4 separate regions of the Mus musculus genome follow, and regions 1, 2 and 3 are each reported to be linked to region 4. The links are microRNA targets in miRTarBase. Many come from high-throughput screens and were not tested one by one. Region 4 holds a microRNA gene; each other region holds the end of a gene's coding sequence.

The links. Region 4 holds the annotated microRNA mmu-miR-103-3p (AGCAGCAUUGUACAGGGCUAUGA, at 3,219-3,241, shown strand). A microRNA usually pairs through its seed, bases 2 to 8, with sites in the 3' UTR of a target mRNA and lowers its output. Matches are read on the target gene's strand: a 7mer-m8 pairs with bases 2 to 8, a 7mer-A1 pairs with bases 2 to 7 and ends in A, and an 8mer does both.
Region 1: miRTarBase lists Gpd1 as a target of mmu-miR-103-3p. The part of its 3' UTR that is shown has no 7-base or 8-base seed match.
Region 2: miRTarBase lists Lyrm9 as a target of mmu-miR-103-3p. Seed matches in the 3' UTR shown: 7mer-A1 at 1,172-1,178, 7mer-A1 at 1,188-1,194 and 7mer-m8 at 4,630-4,636.
Region 3: miRTarBase lists Mtf1 as a target of mmu-miR-103-3p. Seed matches in the 3' UTR shown: 7mer-m8 at 1,200-1,206, 7mer-A1 at 4,137-4,143 and 7mer-A1 at 4,427-4,433.

Annotation. Positions count from the first base shown.
Region 1 is chr15:99,722,810-99,727,690 of GRCm38, forward strand. Gpd1 (glycerol-3-phosphate dehydrogenase 1 (soluble)) reads left to right here. Exons shown (of 8, transcript NM_010271.3): 8 at 382-2,205. The coding sequence ends at 478. It overlaps Cox14 (cytochrome c oxidase assembly protein 14), which reads left to right and starts at 2,809. Exons shown (of 2, transcript NM_183256.3): 1 at 2,809-3,039; 2 at 4,836-4,881. The coding sequence starts at 4,844. Gm16537 (predicted gene 16537) reads right to left here and starts at 1,665. Exons shown (of 3, transcript NR_155353.1): 1 at 1,508-1,665.
Region 2 is chr11:78,838,493-78,843,568 of GRCm38, forward strand. It overlaps Lyrm9 (LYR motif containing 9), which reads left to right. Exons shown (of 4, transcript NM_001076681.2): 4 at 631-5,076. The coding sequence ends at 648. Among named protein-coding and RNA genes, the nearest start is that of Lyrm9, 14 kb to the left of the region's middle.
Region 3 is chr4:124,843,424-124,848,499 of GRCm38, forward strand. It overlaps Mtf1 (metal response element binding transcription factor 1), which reads left to right. Exons shown (of 11, transcript NM_008636.4): 11 at 724-5,076. The coding sequence ends at 920. Among named protein-coding and RNA genes, the nearest start is that of 1110065P20Rik, 4.6 kb to the right of the region's middle.
Region 4 is chr2:131,284,885-131,289,960 of GRCm38, forward strand. It overlaps Mir103-2 (microRNA 103-2), which reads left to right and starts at 3,168; the gene lies at 3,168-3,253. Pank2 (pantothenate kinase 2) reads left to right here. Exons shown (of 7, transcript NM_153501.2): 5 at 2,590-2,713.

The DNA.
Region 1 (4,881 bases), not on the chromosome of region 4:
GCTTAGTATACCAGTATATAGAACATAAACTACATCTTTGCTACTTTATCATACTGGACCCATTTTACAACCGGTGACACTGAGGTCCAGAGAATTGAATGGTTTACTTGTTAAAAACCAAACAATATTTAAAGCCTGCATGCGACTGAGTCAAGCAAGTGCAGAATGCTAAAGATCAGAGTGGATGGCAACCTGACCCCAAATCCCAGGGCCAGGAATTCAGATTCCTGGCAGGTAGCAACAGAGAGCTGGCTTCTGGCTGAACTCCCACTGCGGGAGGCTAGGGAAGTGGTGAGCTAGCACTGAGTCTGGACCTGGGTGGGCATGCATGTTGAGGGTGGACTGTGTGTAGGGAGTGAAGCTGAGGCTCTTTTTCTCTAGGTTCCCCTTGTTCACTGCGGTGTACAAAGTGTGCTATGAGGGCCAGCCAGTGGGCGAATTCATCCGCTGTCTGCAGAACCACCCGGAACACATGTGAATGGGGCCAGGGCCCAGGACAGGCAGCCCCTTTGCCCCAACGGAGACAAGCGGAAGGAAGCACGTGACACCCGTCATCAGGACTGTCTCCAGGACTCCCCATCTAGCAGAGTCCTCTCTGAAGGACCCTGAGGACAGGAGGCTGCGGGGCTCAGCTACACACCTAGAGATGCTCGCCACAGAATCCACACTTCCTTGCTGTCCTCTGGGAAGTGTAGAACTAAGCCCCAGTGGTGCCTGCTCCAGGGGTGGGGTTGGGGGAAGGGAAGGCGCCAAGTCAAGGGCTGCCGGTTGCTGCCTCACACACACTGGGAACCGGTCCCAAGTCCCATTAAGTGACTGAAGAAGCACTTCAGCCACAGGAAAGATGGGGCAAAGGCTGCCAAGGGAAGGGTCTGGATGCCTGAGCTGACACAGACCCCAGAGACCCTTTGGCCGACCTCTGCCAGGCCCCACACAACATCAACGATCTCACTGTTTGCTAACAAAATACAAAGCTCTCAAACAACCCCACTCTAACTTCTCCTAGCAACACTTGCTTCCTCAGAAGCCTCTACTTCCCCCTCCCCCAGGCTACTCTGGCACAAGAGTTGCTCTCCACAGGCATCTCTGGCCCTGGGGCGCTCCATTCTTCCCAGAGACTTCCTGGTTCCTGGAGCTTTGTCAGGGCCTCCCCACCCTGTGTGACCTTTCCCAGCTTTCCCTTGCCTGCACCCAGCTGCCAGCACCCTCTTTGGGGAGCAGGAATCTAATCTGCTGACAGAGCTACACTCTTTTCACAGCAGGCTCAGATGGCTCAGGCTCCCCTGACCTTCCTATTTGTCCACCTCCCCAGTCAGGAGCTCCGGCCCCGGCCAGCCCCTCCTACTGCTGACCTTTCTTCTCAGGGTCCTCCCCACAAGGCCGCTTCTCTCTGCAGTCACCACCAACTTCACGTCTAACAGAATGTAGGATTTATAGTTTATCGTCCTCAGGGCTGTCAGCCCATATTCTTGACTCTGCCCTTTCCTTTTGCCCAAGTCGTTCTCACCCAGCCTGGAAGGCCACCCGGCATCTGTAGGCTTAGAACTAAGGAGCAGCTCAAAGGTTCAGTAGGTTTCCACAAGGGTTGGTGGGTCCTAGTCCAAGGCCAGCTGTCCTCGGAACAGAACAAGGTCCTCGCGAGATCGGACCCACACACCTCAGGAGCTGGGGAACTCGAGGGAAGGACAATTGAAAACTGCCTGCCCTGGGGTGAGGGAGATCAGAGGGGGATGGGAGACTGCTTTGCACTGGCCCTGTTCCAAAGTTGGGTGGCAGCAAGAGAATGTCACAGATCAGCAGCCTGGAGCGCTAGCTATAAATAGCTGGAGGTTTCTCTCTCCACCAGGGGTCTCCATTTCCTGTGTGGCAGCAACTGGGACACCGTGGCTCTGGCCAGCTTGATATTAAACTAACACATTAAGGTGCCAGGTCCCTCTCTGCTCCTAGCCTTTAAGAATTCCGTCTTAGTGAAGGTCAGAGCTGTCGGGTAAGGGGAAGAGGGGGGGCCCTGTCATCGATCCCGACTGGGCTGGAACCCTCCCACGCATGACTCAATTCAGAGCTGTTCCCCGGGAGACTGGGGCGGGATGCAGACAGATTCCAACACCTTAACCTATGTTTGCTCAGTCAGTCAACTGTGAATCTGAGGTCTTCTGTCAGGCCACTTGTCTACCCAATAAAGTGTGGTTTTTCCAGAAACTGGAAGAGTTGGGGGAGTTTATGTGGCAGTGTGTGGGGTCATGTATCACTGCATGCATGTTTTACTCAATGTAAGACAAGAAGTGGAAAAAATCATCCTTGTTTAATAGCAGCCACACTCGGGCATCAATCGGCATTGGCGTCCACTCTGCTCACAGCCCCCACCTCCACCCCCCCACCCCACCCCCGTCCCCTTTTGTGCTTCGTATCCCCTCTTCCACCCAAGCTGTCAGCCAGTCTTCCCAGCGCTTCTTACAGGGTCTGTCACGTTGCCTGCCTACGAGGAGGTCGCGCACAAGGCAGAAATATTAGCGAGTCACCCTCCCATCCCCCGACTCACCCCCTACACCCATTCTGTGGCCTCACTAGTGCTGGTCCAGCTAAGGTCGGTTCCTCCGGATCACCCTGTAAAGGGCCGCTCCAGGCGGTAGGGGGCGCTAGGCCCATCGCTGGAGAATTCCGAGGATCTACCTAGCTACAGTTTACGTCACTGAACTTAGACTGCGGATTGGCTAATTCTGAGCTAAAATTTTTCCCGTTTTCCAAGGAGCGCTCTTGATGGACCAGAACCACACCCCCCAGAATTCAATGGGCCTTTCCGAGAGGAAGGCTAGACTGAGCGTGCGTAAGAGAGAGGTAGAAGCCGGAAGTTCAAGGCTGGCTCTCGCTTTAGTGGGCGAGTTTTCGCAGGGGGTGTCGGGTCCGGAGCGGGGCTGAGCACCAGTGGCTGAGGAGCTGCGCGTTGGTGACTGCCTCTTCCTGCCCTGCGGCGGCCGCGCGACTCTGCGAGTGGCAGACTGAGCAGGCATCGCTCTGACGCGGCCGAGTTGCAGCCTCCAGGTAGGCCGCGGGCCGGACGGCCAAGCGCACTCGCCCTCCCCCCACGCTCTCCTGCTCGGCGCACCGCGCCCCCTGCTCCCCGTGTCGCCGCTTTTCACGCTGTTCCCCTGCTCCCCGTTCCGAGTCCCTGCTGTCCCCTGTGCCCCGCACCGCGCTCCCCTCCGCTCCCCTGTGTCCCGCACCGCGCGTCCTCGGCCTGTGCCCTTGAGAGCGCGCGGCTCCTAGTCCCTGCGCTGTGCTAGCCCCTGCTGGCTCCCCGGCTGTCATAGTCCGACCGCCTTCCTGGTGTGACTGCGGCCTGGCTGTCCTCCCTTCTGAAACTGCTCGCCTCAACCCCAAAGCTCCTCACGGTCCCTCAAAGCCACTTATTTCTCTGAGGTCCTCACCACCTTCTCTGATCCTACAGAATATGGGGTTCATAGCTTACCTTTCTGGGCTCCGTTAGTCAGAAGTTGTTTTCTGCGGACACCAAGTCTCTCCAAAGAGGGCTAAATGACAGAAGCTGGGGTGGTTTTAGGGCTTTGATCCTTATTTGTTTTGTAAAGGATGCCCATCAGATGAAAACCTTCTGCCAGTCTCAAGAGTTTCTTTTATTTCCAAAGTTAATCCTTGTATCTGGGCTTCTAACTTCAGGGTTTTATTGTTTGTTTTTGAGGTTATCTCGGATTTGCTTCTTTTTGTTTCACACCCCCCCCCCGTTTTTTTGTTTTTTGTTTTTGACAGGGTCTCATGTCCACATCCTGAGTGCTGGGATTTCCAGCATATACCACATGCTCTGTTTAATGCAGTTCTGGGGACTGAACCTCTGGCTTTGTGCCTGCTACACTGAGTTACATCCCACTTTAAATCATACTCAAATCTTCTCTATCAGTGAACAAGGTGAAATTAGCTTTTCACCAGGGCGAAGTGACTCTGGCACTCTACAGGCAGGATCCCCCAGACACACACATCCTCAAGTCTATCTTCAGGTCCTCTCTCGGGAGAATTTCACTACCACAATAAGTAGCCTGATTAAAATATGGTTCTGAGGCTGGAGAGATGGCTCAGCAGTTAAGAGCCTTGCTGTTCTTCCAGAGGACCCAGGTTTGATTCCTAGTATAGTCTGGGTGGGCTGGTCACTTTTTTTTTTTAAAGAGATTTATTTCTGGATTTTATGTATATGAATACACTATAGCTGTCTTCAGACACACCAGAAGAGGGCATTGGATCCCATGACAGATGGTTGTGAGCCACCATGTGGTTGCTGGGAATTGAACTCAAGACCTCTGGAAGAGCAGTCAGTGCTCTTAACCACTGAGCCATCTCTCCAGCCCCGGCTGGTCACTTTTTAAGCACAAATAAGGAGAGCCTGTGTTAGCTCTGATGGCATCGCATCATATACACCTGTTTCCGGCCTTCTGTACCTCGGGTGTAGATGTTTTGAGTCAGAGCTCTGAAACTGCCATGCTTAACTCTTTTTTTTTTTTTTTTTTTTTTTTTTTTAAAGATTTATTTATTTATTATATGTAAGTACACTGTAGCTGTCTTCAGACACTCCAGAAGAGGGCATCAGATCTCATTACGGGTGGTTGTGAGCCACCATGTGGTTGCTGGGATTTGAACTTCGGACCTTCGGAAGAGCAGTCGGGTGCTCTTACCCACTGAGCCATCTCACCAGCCCCATGCTTAACTCTTTTAAGAGCAGCCACACAGGAGTCACCAGCATAGGATGCATCCGTGAAGATGAAAATAAGGAATGGCTCTCCGGGAAGGAGGAGAGGCCTATCCTGCAGACCAACTCCAATCTGTCTTTGTAGGGGAAGACATGCCATCTGCCAAGCAGCTAGCCGATATCGGCTACAA
Region 2 (5,076 bases), not on the chromosome of region 4:
CACCTATAGGCCAATCCGGTAGAAGCTGAGGGTGCCTCTTCCCAGGTGGCTCGAGTTTGTGTGAAGTTGATCAAGACTAGGCTGCTGTCTAGGACCAACACCTAGACTGTAGGTGGGATAAAGGCACCAGGAATGTGGAGAACTGGAGTGTGCCCCCAGATCCTTGTTGTCCTAGCGCAGACGCTCCAGATGTGGGGTTTAAAATCCACTTTGTAAAAACAGATTTTGATAGGGCATTGACCTCAGTGGTCGACTGCTTGCCTAGTGCAGAAGCCGCTGGGGCTTATCCCTGACAGAAAAATCAAAACAAAGGCAGGAAAGCCTCGATGATTGGCTGGGGACCCTGGGTGTCTGAGGGTCTCCTCTGCCTGGGACTTTTCTCCCACAAACAAGATTCAGAATAAGGCCGAGCCCTGGTGAGTTCCATGCTTAGTCCCAGTGCCCTCGGCCTCCCAGCCTTTTCATTAAAGAAGGAGGGCCTAGGCACCAACTCGATGTGAAGGTGAAGGGTCTCCCGATGGAGTCTCACCACCTCCCAGAAACCCCTGCAGTCGTGGAGAGGCCCGTGTGACACAACAGAGCCCTCCCCCATGGCTTCCCTCACCCGTCTCTCATCTCTCTGTCTTGCAGTATAGGAAACAAAACTGAGTGTCTGGAGCTTACGGCGAGCGCTTAGCTGCCCTGGAGTCACTTGGAACTGAGAAGCCTTCTGCTCTTGGAACAGCATCAGTTCTGGAATATTCTTTGATCTTGTTGGCTGAAAGCAAGAAATCGTAACTGACATTTGGTGAGGTGGTTCTCGTCATTGCAGCCATGTCTCCAGCGTCTTTTATGTCTGCTTTTCCAGACAGAAACGATATGCAATTTGGGGAGAATTTGGAGTTTTTTTGCTTCTTCTCTGTGTTTCTCATTTTTGCCTATCTGTTCTTTTACTTTGCCCTGAAGGCAGTTAATTTATTCTGGAGGTCCCGTCACCGATCTCCCAGCCCCATGAGAGATGTCCCCTCAGATGACCACCTGTATAGAAAGAAACGAACGGGCTTGAGAACCAGGCAGCTGTGGATCTGAATCCCAGCCGGCATACACGCCATCTGTCAGGTGCCCGAGTGAGCCTGGGGGGGTGAGGCGGCAGTCACGTGCCAGCTCACACCAGCTCCCTGCACAGGGACCTTGCTGCACAGGGACCTTGCTGCACAGGGACCTTGCGAGGAAGCCGCTGTGCTCCTCGTCCTGTTCAGTGACTCAGCTGTGAGTGCGTCTTGTCTCCTCTCAGAGTCCACACGCCCTCTTATCTGTGCCATGCTGTGTCCGTCAGTCTGTTAAGCAGCGGCTTCCTCCCAATATGCTCCAGGCAGAAACCCTGACCCTTGAAGTGGGAAAACATCTACTACACTAGACCAGCAATAAGGTGCAAGTAGGCAGGGTAGACACCAGCAGGTCCAGGCTTCCGTGCTCCACAGTGTGTCCTCTCTGGAGAGGAGATTGGGTCCAAGGGGAAGTGGCCCAGGTGGGCGAAGTAGCCAGAAGATGCAGAGAGGCCACACTGGGGGTTGAATGTTCGTGGGGCACTCAGGTGAGCTAGTGCCTGTCTGTGCCCTTGCAGTTCTGCGGGATGATGTGACCTCTGTCTAAGCAGAAGGGGCGGACAGTCCCGAAGCACGTGTGTCCACTTGTGAAAGCTCACAGTTTTCTTCCTCCTCTTTTGATTTATTTCAGACAGGATCTCAGTGTATACACTGGCAGGCCTTGAACTTTTGAACTTTCAGCAGTCTTTCTGTCTCTGCCTCCCAAGCACTTAGATACAGGTGTGCCACAACACATTGCTGCTGCTGCTGCTGCTGATAAATGCTCGTCAGGACAGTTTGCAGGATGCAGCTCACTTCTTCCTCTATGTGGGTCCCAGAGACTGAACTCGGGCTATCAGGCTTGGTGGCAAATGCCTCTATCTGTTGAGTCATCTGTTGGCTCTTATTATTTCTTCTTTAAAAAAAGAAGATCTTTATTTTATTTGTGTGTACCACGTGTGTGCAGGTGCCCTCAGAGGCCTGAGGACATTGGGCTCCCTGGAACTGAAGTTATAGGCAGTATGAGCTGTCTGATGTAAGTGTTAGGAACCAAACCTGAGTCTTCTGCAAGCAGTTAGCGCTCACACTCACGCACACACTCACGCTCACGCTGAGCCATCTCTCTAGCCCTCTATTGTTTCTCCCTGACTGCTGTTCTCTGAATAGGATTGTTCCCTCGACACGTGTGTCAAACAACGCTAAGGACTTGGGTAAGTCAGACACCCACTTGCCTGGAAGGATCATTCCTCAGAGACAAGCAGAGCCACAGGTTTGGGCTCCCAGATGACTGCCAGGCAAAGGGCAAGAGCAAAGCCGCAGTCCCTCCATCCCCACTGCTGCTGTCCAGTCCATCTGAGCCCAGGGACCAATCCTTACCTGGTGGTGTTCGTGGCAGTAGAGTAGCCATGTGTGCCACCATGCCTGGCCTTAGGCAGAGTTGTTCATTAGAATGGGGCTGAGGAGAAAGGACTAACACTGATTTGAGGAGCTGGGGCTGCCACTCACAGGGAGTGTGAGAGGGGTGTGGGGTCCCGTTGTTATGAGGGTGGTTTCAGAGAACACAATACAGATCAGTGGCCAGGTTATCCCTATGACATAGGACATTGACCTGTATCTGGTGGGGTCTCCCTATTGATAAAATAAGGGTGGAAGACGGGCTTATTTCATTTGTTGAAAGTGAGGGAGAGGGCTGAAGAGCAGTTAAGAGCACTGACTGCTCTTCCAGAGGTCCTGAGTTTAATTCCCAGCAACCACATGGTGGCTCACAACCATCTATAATGGGATTTGGTGCCCTCTTCTGGTATCTGAAGAGAGCAATAGTGTACTCACATTTATAAAATAAATAAGGCCGGAGCAAGCAGGGCCAGAAAATATATAAACAAAAAGAAAAAGGAAAACATAAAGAAAAAGGCTACTTTAAAAAAAAAAGAAAGAAAGAAAGTGAGGGAGAAAAACTGAATCTCCATGAATGTGTCCTTAATATTTGATCCCTCTCCAAGATGTCTTCTCCAGTCATGTGTGTGTGTAAGTGTCCACATGTATGTGTGTGAGTGTCCACACACACATGTGCCAGTACCTGTGTATACCTGTGTGTGCACAGGGAGAGCAGGGGTTGATGATGGGTTGTCCCCTCTGTTGCTCAGTACCTGGCATTCTGAGGCAGGGTCTCTCCCCACAGGTCACTGATTGATGAGACTGCTAGCCTGCAGATTCTGGGGGTCTAACTCATGCTCTCTCCTGCCACACACACACACACATCACCCGGGCCTCAGGTGTGTGCCAGTGAGCCCAGCTTTTCTGTGGGCATTAGGGGTCTGAATGCAGATCTTACTCATTGTGCTGAGCTGTCTTCACAGGCCTTTCCTTCTTGTTCTTAAGGACCTGGTGGCAGGTGGAAGTCTGACTTCAGAGTTGCTTTGCAGTTGCTGGCCCTACTTGATGGGATGGGGACAAGAACGGTGGCACGGGCTCTGTCTGCAGTGGGTAGACCATGGAGTGGCATCAGTTTGATATGGAAATGGCAGTGTGGAGAAGATCCCCTCCCCAAGCATGTTAAGTTAGCATAGGACCGAAGTCAGTGGAATAGCGGCCAGTGATGGCTCCCAAGTGCCAGAAGCCAGGCACAGATGGAACAGTATCCAGTGCCAACCTCCATAGGTGCCTCATCTCACAGGCTGAGGCCATTCTGCTCCTTGAATATGATTGGCTACAGGTCCTGGCTATTGACCTAAGTGCAACAGGTAGAATCCAGGCGTATGCACACCCTTCTTTGTTCTATTAATAAGAAACCGAATTCTCTCTGGTTTTGTTCGAGTATCGGTCAAGGAATTTAGTGAGAGTGGGGTGTAGGGGAGCCAGCTAGTGCATCTCCTGTGTTTTTGAGGGCTTTAGTTAAGGATTGTAATGTGACCTCATTGTAAACAAAGCTACCCTATCAACCAAGAGAGGTAATTGGCTCCTGCAAGATTTAGCTCCTAGGGGCTGGCAAGATGGTTCCAACAGGCACTGCTGTGCAAACCTGACGACTGGAGTTTGATCCCCTGATTCTGTGTTAAGGAGCAAAGAGAACACCAATGCCTCTCACCTCCACATGAGACACGTGGCATACACACACCTGCGTTCACACATCATGCACACACACAGTGATAACCATAAAAACAACAGTAATCTAAAGCATACATTATTTTGGGGCTGGAGCCATAGCTCAGTAGCTAAGAGCACCTACGGCTCTGGCATTAGTCAGAGTTAGAACCACATCTGGTAGCTTACAACTGACTGTAACTCCAGCTCCAGAGGGATCCAATACCTCTGACCCTGCAGGCACCTCCACTCAGGTGCACACACCCACATGCATACAAATAGTTTAGAAAATTATCATAAAATAAAGAAATTATATAGCATGCTTATACCAGTATGTACCAACGCTCCTAATTTTATAAATGACTAGCCCAGGTACTGTGTTCCCTGCAAAGTAGTCTCCTACAATGTAGAAGAAATGTAATTAAGAATTAGAAATGTAATTAAGACTTAGACAATCTTTAGTTTTGGAGGAACTCAACAAGAGATGCTGCCCTGGGAGCTGGAGAGATGGCTCAGAGGTCAAGCGCACTGGCTGCTCTTCCAGAGGTCCTGAGTTAAATTCCCAGCAACCACATGGTGGCTCACAACCAACTATAATGATATCTGGTGCCCTTTGGCCTGCAAGCATACATGGAGGCAGAATGCTGTATACATAATAAATAAAATCTTTAAAAAGAGATGGTGGAGGTAGCCCTAGGAAGGACACTCAGCAAGAGCCTGGACAGGGTATTTATTTATTTATTTATTTATTATCTGTTTGTTTATTTTTACCGAGTGTTTGTTTTATGCACCAAAGTGCTCAGGCCATCCGGCTTGGTGGCAAGTGCCTTTACCCACTCAGTCATCTCGCTGGCCCAAGCTTTGTAATCTCCCATATCATCAACTTGCCTGACTTAGAAGCCATCCCGTTGATGTCCCTTGAAGTGAGTTA
Region 3 (5,076 bases), not on the chromosome of region 4:
TAGCCTTCAGCTCTGTCTACACAGAACCTGGCTGAGGACAGAGCGTATGTGTAAGTGACACACGTGGGGGTGAAATGCGAATGGATACGAACGGGCACACATTCCAGGCTGGCTGGGGAGGAGATCAGTCCACTCGACATCTCCCACACGTCAAACATGAGCCACATAGAGAAGTGCAATGACCTCAGGAGCTGGGGTCAGAGCAGGTCCTGTGCTGTGTGGAGAGGGTATGGAATGCAAGCAGCAATGCTGTGTGCATGCGCCTGGTGCTCAGTACTGCCTCCAGTGGTTAGTCAGGGGTCACCACCTGGGGCAGGAAGAGAACAGGGAGCGAATTGGTCCTTGAAAGATGCGGGCACTGTCTGCCCCAAGCAAGTTTAAGCAAAAGGGAGGGCTCAGAGTAAGAAGGGTGGCGTCTGCTGTGGCTGCAGACGCGGCACAGAGGACAGGGTGCATCTAGATGATGTGGGTGAGTCTTCTAAGAAGGAAGCATCATCGTGGATGGGAGAATCCGCACAGGCTTTTTCCCTGAGAAAGAACCCGGACCAGCATAGCAAAAGCCAAAGCATGGCGTCTCTCCTGTCTGTCACTCCTGCCTCCCAGCAGTCAGGTCCCACCCCCCCCCACCCCCCCCCCCACCCCCCCCCGTCCTTACCTTACTCCCCTGCCCCTCATGCCTGTTCCTGGCCACTTGAAGAGCAGTCTCTCTCGCCTCTCTCACAGGGAGCTCTGTTCAGCAGATTGGCCTCAGTGTTCCTGTGATCATCATCAAACAAGAGGAGGCCTGTCAGTGTCAGTGCGCGTGCCGGGACTCTGCGAAGGAGCGGGCGGCCGGCCGGAGAAAGGGATGTTCTTCCCCACCCCCTCCAGAGCCGAACCCCCAGCCTCCTGATGGGCCCAGCCTGCAGCTGCCACCCTAGACTTCTCCCTCATCCCTGCCCCCCCCCCCCCCCTCCGCTGGACCCTCTTCCTGTGAGCACAGCAGACAGGCTGAGGCTCCTCAGACCCTCCGAAACGTTAAGTGCCATGGATGTGTCAGAGTTCCTGTCCCTCCAGAGCCTGGACACCCCGTCCAATCCGGTTCACAGTGAAGCACTACTGCAGGGGTAGAGGAAAGAGCCTGGCCGGCAGCTTCTCCAGGGGAAGGGCCTGTGCGCACACCCCTCCAGGAACAGGGTGAGCAGGAAGTACCGGCTGTGATGCTGCCGTCATGGGGTCAGAAATTGGAAGGATGAAGAAATCTGCCATCTGAAAGCTCACCTTTCAGACGTATTTTCTTTACTCGTATCCCAGGAACATCCATTTTAAGGAACTGATCTTTGGAGGAAAAAACAAAAAACAAAAACAAAAAAAGAAAAAAAAAAGCTAAGTTATAAGTGAACTGTCTGGCTGCACTGTGTGTCACTTTTGCTTATTGTTATGTGAACTTGGAAACTAAGGTTACGTGTATGCATAAAAGTTCTAAATGAAAGGGTGTGGTTTCCATCACTTTGGTACTGCCCATCATTTGCACTGGGGTCACTGTGGATTGGGCAGGAGAGGCCACTGTGCCTGCCGGGTGTTGCTTCTCTTCTGTGTCTGTTTAATCCGAGGCAGTACCTGGAGGGCCAGACCACCGCTCTATGAAAGCGGGGAGTGGCAAGGGCAGGCGTGAGTTAGACTGGGTGAGTTGCTTTGTTGTTGGCACTTGGTTTCTGTGGAGCTTGGGGTAGATGCAGAGGGGGCTGCCCTGTGTCCTGCTTAGTCCTAGCGGGCAGCTGCAGGCCTCCTGGCCAGAGGGAAGATGTGGTTCTGCAGGGCCCCGAGGCAGTTGTTGACAGCTCTGTTGATAATGTGCTAGACCCTAGAGCTATCTAGCACAGCCACAGTCTTGCCTTCTTGGCTCTTTCCATCTCTCAGTGCTTGTTAGTGCTTGAGGCTTGAAGTTCATCTCTCCTACGGAAGCGCCCTGTTTTATCCTAAAGTGAATGAGAGGCTTCTGGCCAGTGGCTGCCAGGGTCTTCCTGCCTTCGATGATGTTTGCTTCCTCAGAGCAGAAGGGCTGCTTTTCCAGAGAAAGTGCAGAGCTAAAGGAGTTAGATGGTGAGGCAGCAGGTGGTCGGCAGGCATTCTGGTACCCAGTTGTAGCCAGGCTTTGGTTATCCTCTCCCAGCTGCATGTCTCATGTCTCTTAGATTTGCATACAGCCTCATACAGTGCAAAGGAAGATGTGATCTCTAAACAAAAAGGAATAAAAACCTAAAATGATGATATTCTACTCAGGGTAAAACAAACAAACAAACCCCTTCCACCAAAAAGCCTGAAGCTTGCAGTCAGTTTACCTCATTTGGAATGTTTTGTTGAGTTGTGTTACAGGAATTTTTTTTTATTAGTGTATAAAATTATACCCATCTCCTTGCCTTTGGCTCCTGGTTATTGCCTCTTCAAACATAAGTACAATCTATAGGAGAATGGGGGTGTGGCTGTCCTTCGGCTGTTTACTGTAGCCATCAGTGCTTGGCAAGGTCAGAAGGTAGCTGGGTCTGGGACTGGAGGAGGCGTCTGTCTCCAGCAAAGAGCAGGGTCTGGTGCCCCAACAGGACAACCAGAGAGCTGTGTAGGTTGCCCTCCTGCAGTCTGGACCTTTCCTCAGAGCCAGCTAGGATGGTGACCCTTGTCTTTAGGCAAGGTATTTAGGGACAATTGGCCAAGAGGGTCATGGCAGCACTATTGAGAAATGGCACAGGTACAAGCAGCTGATCTCCCATTCCAGGATTGGACCAGGAGTATGAATTTCTGATGTTCTACACCCCCACACCCCACACACACCCAAAAAAGGTTGATGGATTTGGGCAACCATAGACCTCAGCAGGAATCTGCACGGTGTGAGGAGCCCCCTGTTGGCGCCGTGGTTAGTCCTTCTGGGAACCAGCTGCTTGGGTGTAGATTGTCCTCAGCTGTCTCTAGGACTTGCACTCACAGGAAGCTTTGCACTCGGGCCCTCACTCGTTTCTCTTCTCTGAGGAGAGCAGTGAATGGGACCCCCAAAGTGAGCTTGTAACAAGGGGTAGTAATGGCCCTCCCACTCACTCTGCCTATGACACCCTGGGAGCTGACATAGGAAACAGGAGCCTAGGGAGGATGTATGGAAGGTTTCAATGGTTTAAATATGGCTTCTTGGTTTGCTAGGGCTGTGCTCTTAATGGTCCATTCCTAGGTTATTGGCTTTTCACCCTCCACAGTTGGCATGGTGAAGAAACATTTGAGCAGTGTTGAGGCTGAAGTGTTGCTAGGTGAAGGAGCTAAGTGATTTTAGAACACAAGAGACTCTCAGAACCTAAGAGGTTTTGGAAAGTGAGGACTCTGCTTGCAGTTGGTGGTTGTGGAGAGCCAATGTGTGAAACAGGGTAGACAGACGCTTCGGCCATGCTTGTACCAGTGGTCCTTCCCCCATCTTTCCACAAGCCCAGCCTCTAATGCTAAGGACCTTGGAGAAGAGGGAACCTCCTGGCTAAACTAGAACCACGAAGACCCTTCATGGAGTGGTTTCGCCAGGGAATGACCTTAGGGTAAGGCCAAGAAGAGTGAATTCTGGCAAGTCGATTAAGCCTTTCCTTCCACGACAGCCATCACCACTGTCACCCTGTAGACGAGACTTGGGTTACCACTAGCATCTCCAGTTTAGCCTCTTCCAAGAGACTAGTTGGCAGCAGGGCTGATGGACCTAGGAGGTGGTCAGGTGATCTTGGTCCCACCCAATTGCCTTATAAATGTGGTCCTTCCCAGGCAGGAGGGTAAGGCTGAGAGAAGAGAGCTCAGTGCCCTTGGGCAGCACTAGTTTGGCCACAGGAGTACTGTCCTCTGTTGACTTTGGTTCATAAGATGATGGTACAATGCCAAGGAGAGGCTTGGGGTGTGGAGAGCCCTCTAGGTAGAAGGCAATGGGACTCCCCTTCCCTTTCAGAGTCAGTGGATGGGAAAAGGTTGTTTTCCGGATCAAGGCAGTGGGCTGATGGGGTAATGGAGGTGCCTGAGTTTTGCCTGAGGCTTTGTATTATGCTGAATGTGTCCAGAGGGACAAATTTGCAGAACCTCATATTGATATTTTAAATAATAAAATAAAAAGCACTTTAGGTTACTTTTATCTTTAACCCAATTGCTGCAATTTCTGTTGTGTATGTATATATACATATATATACTTTCCCCAAAGTTTTATTTTTTGCTCAGAATAAAAGTTAAGTTGAGGTGTAAAAAGAGCACTTACTTGGGTGCAATATATGCGTAGCTTGACAGTCGCTATCCCACGTGGCCCTGGCCTGGCCTTCTGCTCCATCAGCCCTGTGCTGAAGCTGGCCACAGGGAACCACTATCAGCATCTCAGCAGCTGCTCAATCTATGCAAGCCTTCCTGTGTGTCCGGGGCGCCCCCCTCAGGCCCTCCAAGGAACTGCTGCAGCTGTTTTCTTCTGACTGTTGAGGCCCCTTTTCAACTGCTTCTCCGCCGTCCCCTGCTCTTTCCCCTCTTCCCCAGAACAAAATGATTCCTGAAAGGAAGGGTCGGTTGTTCCTAGGTAGAAACCTGGCACCTTTAGACTTTCATATTTGTAAACACATCCATTGAAGGGAAGCGTCTCCAGTGTCACTGAGACTGTTGGTGTGTGGAAGTGCACTACTGTCGCGAATTTACAGCTTTTTCACAGCCCCAATCAGAAATATGTCGGAAGGCTCTCTGCACCACCTCTGTTGGCTCAAAAGCAGAATGACTTCCACGCTTCATCAAATCCATTTAGGAAGCCGTTAATGACCTCCCTCACCGGCTCCCACTTACTCTTAAATTCCCAACTGTAGAGGCATTTTAAATATACTCCAGCCAGTGCAAGATTTTCACAGATGAAGTTTGCAAGTGGTTGTGCTGTGACACAGATGGGAAATTGTCCATCTCTCCTCTGAGGCAGAAGGGGATGAGCCATAAAACTGGATCATACATATTTCTGATTGGTCTGTTTCTTGCATATTCTTGGATCTTGTTTCTTATGCCCCTGCTCTTGGGGAGGTTGGTCATTAGCCCAGGCATCTCTCACTGTTCTGGCGGCTTGAG
Region 4 (5,076 bases):
GTTCTGGTGAAACCTGTCTTTATGTGTTTATCTCCTGTGCTTTTAGTGTCATTTGCCCCATCTAAGATTGTGAGGATTCACTTCTAAGAGTTTATAATGCCATTCATGGGTTAGTTTTTCTGTATAGTGTGTGATAGAGTTTCATACTCACTCTTACATGGTGTTTCTCACTTGGTCCAGCTGACCCATCTGCTGAGACTGCTTTCCCTAGTCTTTTGAGCCCTTTGTTAGCAAATCAGTTGACTGTAGATGTTTCAGTTGAATTCTCTCTTTTTTTTTAAAGATGTATTTATTGCCGGGCAGTGGTGGTGCACGCCTTTAATCCCAGCACTTGGGAGGCAGAGGCAGGCGGATTTCTGAGTTCGAGGCCAGCCTGGTCTACAGAGTGAGTTCCAGGACAGCCAAGGCTATACAGAGAAACCCTGTCTCAAAAAACCAAAAAAAAAAAAAAAAAAAAACAACAACAAAAAACAAAACAACAACAACAACAAAAAGATGATGTATTTATTGTTATATGTAAGTACACCGTAGTTGTCTTCAGACACACCAGAAGAGGGCGTCAGATCTCATTACAGATGATTGTGAGCCACGATTTGAACTCAAAACTTTTGGAAGTGCAGTCAGTGCTCTTAACCACTGAGCCATCTCTCCAGCCCTCAGTTGAATTTTTGATTCTCAGTCCTGTACATTTGTCTTTAGAGAAGTACCATGTTCCCTTGCTTACCGCAGCCTTGCACTAAGTTTTTAGGGGAAGGTGGCAGAGGTACAGGGCACACTTCTCTAACTTGCTCTACCTTTCCACAATTATTTTGGCTGCTTTGAATTCTTTGACTTTCTATATGAATTTTAGTATCAACTTGGTAATGTCTGTAAAGAAGATAGCTAGGATTTTAATAGGGATTGTATTGAATCTGTTGACCAGTTTGAAGAGTAAATTTTCTTTTAATTTCTTTTAATCTTAATTTTCTTTTCAATTTTTCTTTTTAATTATTTTAAAAATTTGTGTTTTTCTTGGATGTTTGTATGTATACTCACGGTGTGCCTGGTGGTCGTGAGGTCACAAGAGGATATCGATCTGGAAACACAGTTATGAGCCTTCATTTGGGTGTTGGGAATAGAACCTGGGTCCTTTAGAGCAAGTGTTCTTAGCTGCTGAGCCATCTCTATAGACCTGAGTGTTACCAGCTTAACACTGTCAAGTCTTTGGTTCAGGAAGATGGACTTCTTTCCATTTCTTTAGGTGGTGGTTGTCTTTAAACTGCAAAAGATTTTAGTACACAAGCATTATATTTCTTTTGCTAAGTAAATGCCTATTTAGTTCTCTTTAATTCTATAAAAAGTGGAAGTCTTTTTCTCTGTCTTCCTCATGCTGTTTTTGAGTCAGGATTTCACTGTGAAGCCCAGGTCTGTCTTGGTCTTTCAGATGCTGAGATGCTGGCCTGTGCCACCATGCTTAGCATGGGCCTTTCTATATTTTATTTTGTTTATTTAGGTATGTAGTTTTTAAAAATAATTACTTTTATGTGTATGGGTGTTTTACCTGAATTTATATCTGTGTAACATGTGTGTGCCAGGTACCCATGGAGACCAGAAGAGGGCATCAGATTTCCTAGGACTGAAATTAAATACTTACAGACACTTAGCTGATATGTGGGTTCTGGGAACTGAAAGGGTCCTCTGGAAGAGCAGTCAGTGCTCTTACACTGAGCCAGTTTTCCAGCTCCCCTACGTATGCAATTTTTGTATTTTTGTGTTAAGAGCACATGTGTTTTCTGTTTTGTTCTGTTTTTGAGTCCAGGTCTCACTATGTAGCCCTGTCTAGACTTTAACTTGCTATGCAGACCAGTCTCTCCTTAGACTCTCAGAAATCTATCTGCCTCTGTCTCTTAAGTGCCAATTAAAGGTGTGCGCCACCATGCCCAGCAGAGTACTTGGTTTTTAATAATAGAAAAGGCATTCATGTGCAAGCTGGGAAATAGGCACTGGATAAATAAAATAGATTGTTTTTTTGGCAGCATTTGATCACTGGTCATCTCTTCCTTATTCTTGTCCTTGGGTTTGGGTCATAGTTACTATTGTAGCCCTTTTGCTGGTCAAGAAATTTGAAGTCTTTTATTTACTTTCTAGGGCAGCCTGGAACTTTAGTAGCCACTGTGGGCCTCAGCTGTTTTGTACTTTGTGTGCTGATCAAATGAGTTTTCTAGACTAGATGTAACTGTGACTGTCTGAGTAGAACAGTTGCACAGTAGCGATGACCTGCCAGTCAGGTATGTCTCCCTGGAATACTCCGTTGTTAGATCAGGCAGTGCTACCTTTCGGAAATTGTACTGAATGCACTTGGATAGGGAACTATCTGGTACCAAAGTTGAATTTTAGTATGACAGGGAATGCTACCTGTTCATTTAGAGTGTAATTTGTAGGCTTTTTTTTTTTTTTTAACTGAGTTCCTTTCAGTGGATGCTCCCATCATTCTGTAATAAAACAGAAAGACTTGATGTAAAGTCATTTTATCATAGTAAAGTAACATTGAAGTTCTCCTGGACTGTGTTGCCTTTGTTTCAGCAGTGAAATGTTTTTCCTCCACCACAGTTTTGGAAACATGATGAGCAAGGAGAAGAGAGAGGCGGCCAGTAAGGAGGATCTTGCCAGAGCAACTTTGATCACCATCACCAACAACATTGGCTCCATAGCAAGAATGTGTGCCCTTAATGAAGTAAGGGCACATGAGATTGTTCTGTTCACTCTAGGGAAATGCTGACCTTCCTAAATGGGTCCTACCCTGACCTTACAGTGTCTGTCTTCTTAAAACGTGCCCAAATGTAGTTATATGGGGTAGACTTGAAATGTGAACTTTACACTCTTCAGATTCCTCCTCCTCTTCATTGATTGTCCTCCCATTCCCCACCATACTCCTTGTCTCTTCCTGAAGATAAGCACTACTGCAAGAGGTGAATGGTTTCTTTGAGGAGACTCTAGAGGGGGCCAGGAAGAAGGCCAGTCTTGAGCTACTGATGGGATGAATGACGGGTCACAATGGTGACTAGACGCTGTGTTTGCTGGGTGCTGTTGAGGTGTGGACAGGAAGCCACAGGAAGCCACTGGAGCTGGGAGAAGACTGAGCGGTCAGAGGAAGGCCCACCTTGGTTCTTCTCCACCTCAGCAGAGCTGTCTTCGTGCTTTCAGCTTCTTTACAGTGCTGCCTTGTAGCATTCAGGTCAAGCAGCATTGTACAGGGCTATGAAAGAACCAAGAATGGGCTGCCCTTAGGGAAAGAGGATCTAGGATCCAGTTGGTGCAGCTTATGGCTTGTCCCTATTTATACACTTTGGTTTACAATAATTCTTTTAATAATATAGGCATGTGCCTTAAAAAGAGACCTCAAGACCTAAAAGGATTTGTCTAAATTTTAATTTATTTAGAAGTTATTAAACACCAGATTTTAAAAATTCCATCTTCATTTGAATAACATCACTCTTATATGTTTGCTTTCCTGGGCTTAAGTATCAAAAACTTTTAGTTGTTGTGCATACATTTTATGCTTTTAATTGAAATACATGGTTTGTGGCTACATTTTGTTTATGTGAATACATGTGTATACATGTGTAGGTGTGGAGGTTAGAGGTCAACCTAGGGTGTTTCTCAGGTTCTGTCTACCTTGTTTGTTTTATTTTATTTTGGTTTTGGCTTTTTGAAACAGGTTTTCTCTGTGTAGGCCTGGCTATCCTGGAACTTCCTTTGTATACTAGACTGGCCTCCAGCTCAGACTTGTGTGCTTCTGTTTCCCAAGTGCTGGGGTTAAAGGTGTGTATTACCACTGCCCGGCTTTTTATTTTTAAACTGGTTAAGGACCTCAAACTCCTAGAGACCTTGCTGTGTCTGCTTCCCTAGTGCTGGGATTAAAGGTGTATGCCACAATGCCTGGCTCACCTTAGTTTTTGAGACAAGGTCTCTCACCAGTTGAAACTTGTTGATTAGGCTGGGTAACTGTCCAGTGAATCCCTAGGATCTGCCTGCCTCAATTTCTAGCGCTGGGATTATAAATGTGCCAATGCCACTGCTTTCCTATGTGGACTCGGGAATTCCACTCAGCCTCATGTTCACATGGAAGCACTTTGCTGACTAAGCTATCTTCTGAGGTCATCACTGTATATTTGATCAGATTCTTATTTTGTCATAATTATTTAAATAGAGTTGGGCATTTGGTTTCTTGGAAGTAGGGACTGTGGTAAGTATTTAGAAGTATGAGCCTGTTCTTTGGCTGTTTTATTCTTGATATGGGGCTTTCTTGGGAGCAAACCTTGTGATCCTACATCGTGATTGTACTTAATGAATCCTAGTAGGTTACCAAGGGGTTTTGCACAGGTGTGTGCCCATTCAGAGCAGCATCTTTAGCATTGATGGCTGGACAGCTTTACTGATGCTGTGGGTGGAATTTCACTCTGTTAAACAGCTGTAAGATTTTGCTTTCTTGGTTCACAGATGAAGGTGAATTGTTTTTAACTGTCCCATACTTTGCATAATTTGTTATTTTGTGTCATGTCCTGTTTGGGTAATTTTTCTCCTTGCTCTGACCAAATCCCTGACAAAAGTCACTTAGGAGCAGGATTTACTTTGGCTGACAGGTGAGAGTATAGACTGTCATGGTAGGGAAGGCATGGTGGTATAGTCACTTGGGGCAAAGTGTGACGCTGTTTATTTATATCTGAATATGCTAGGGAACAGATGAATGCTGGCTCTCAGCTGGTATGTCTCTTCTCCCCTTTTTTTCAGTGTAGGATGGTATTACCACATTCAAGACAAGTCTTCTTAATTACTCCTCTACACAAGACACAGCCAAAGGTCTGCCACACTAATGCTCTGGGTGCTTCCTACTCCAGTTATGCTGACAATCAGTATTGCCCATCTCAAACTTATGCCTTGTTAACTTGGCACCATATACCTCACTTTAATACTCCACTTCTCACTGTTAGTGTCTCATTTTGTCATCAGAGTACATGCTGTCTGAGTGTCCACAGTCTGTCTGCCACATTACTTGTGCTCCTCAGCAACTAGTTTTGTCTTTCATTGAACCTTCTT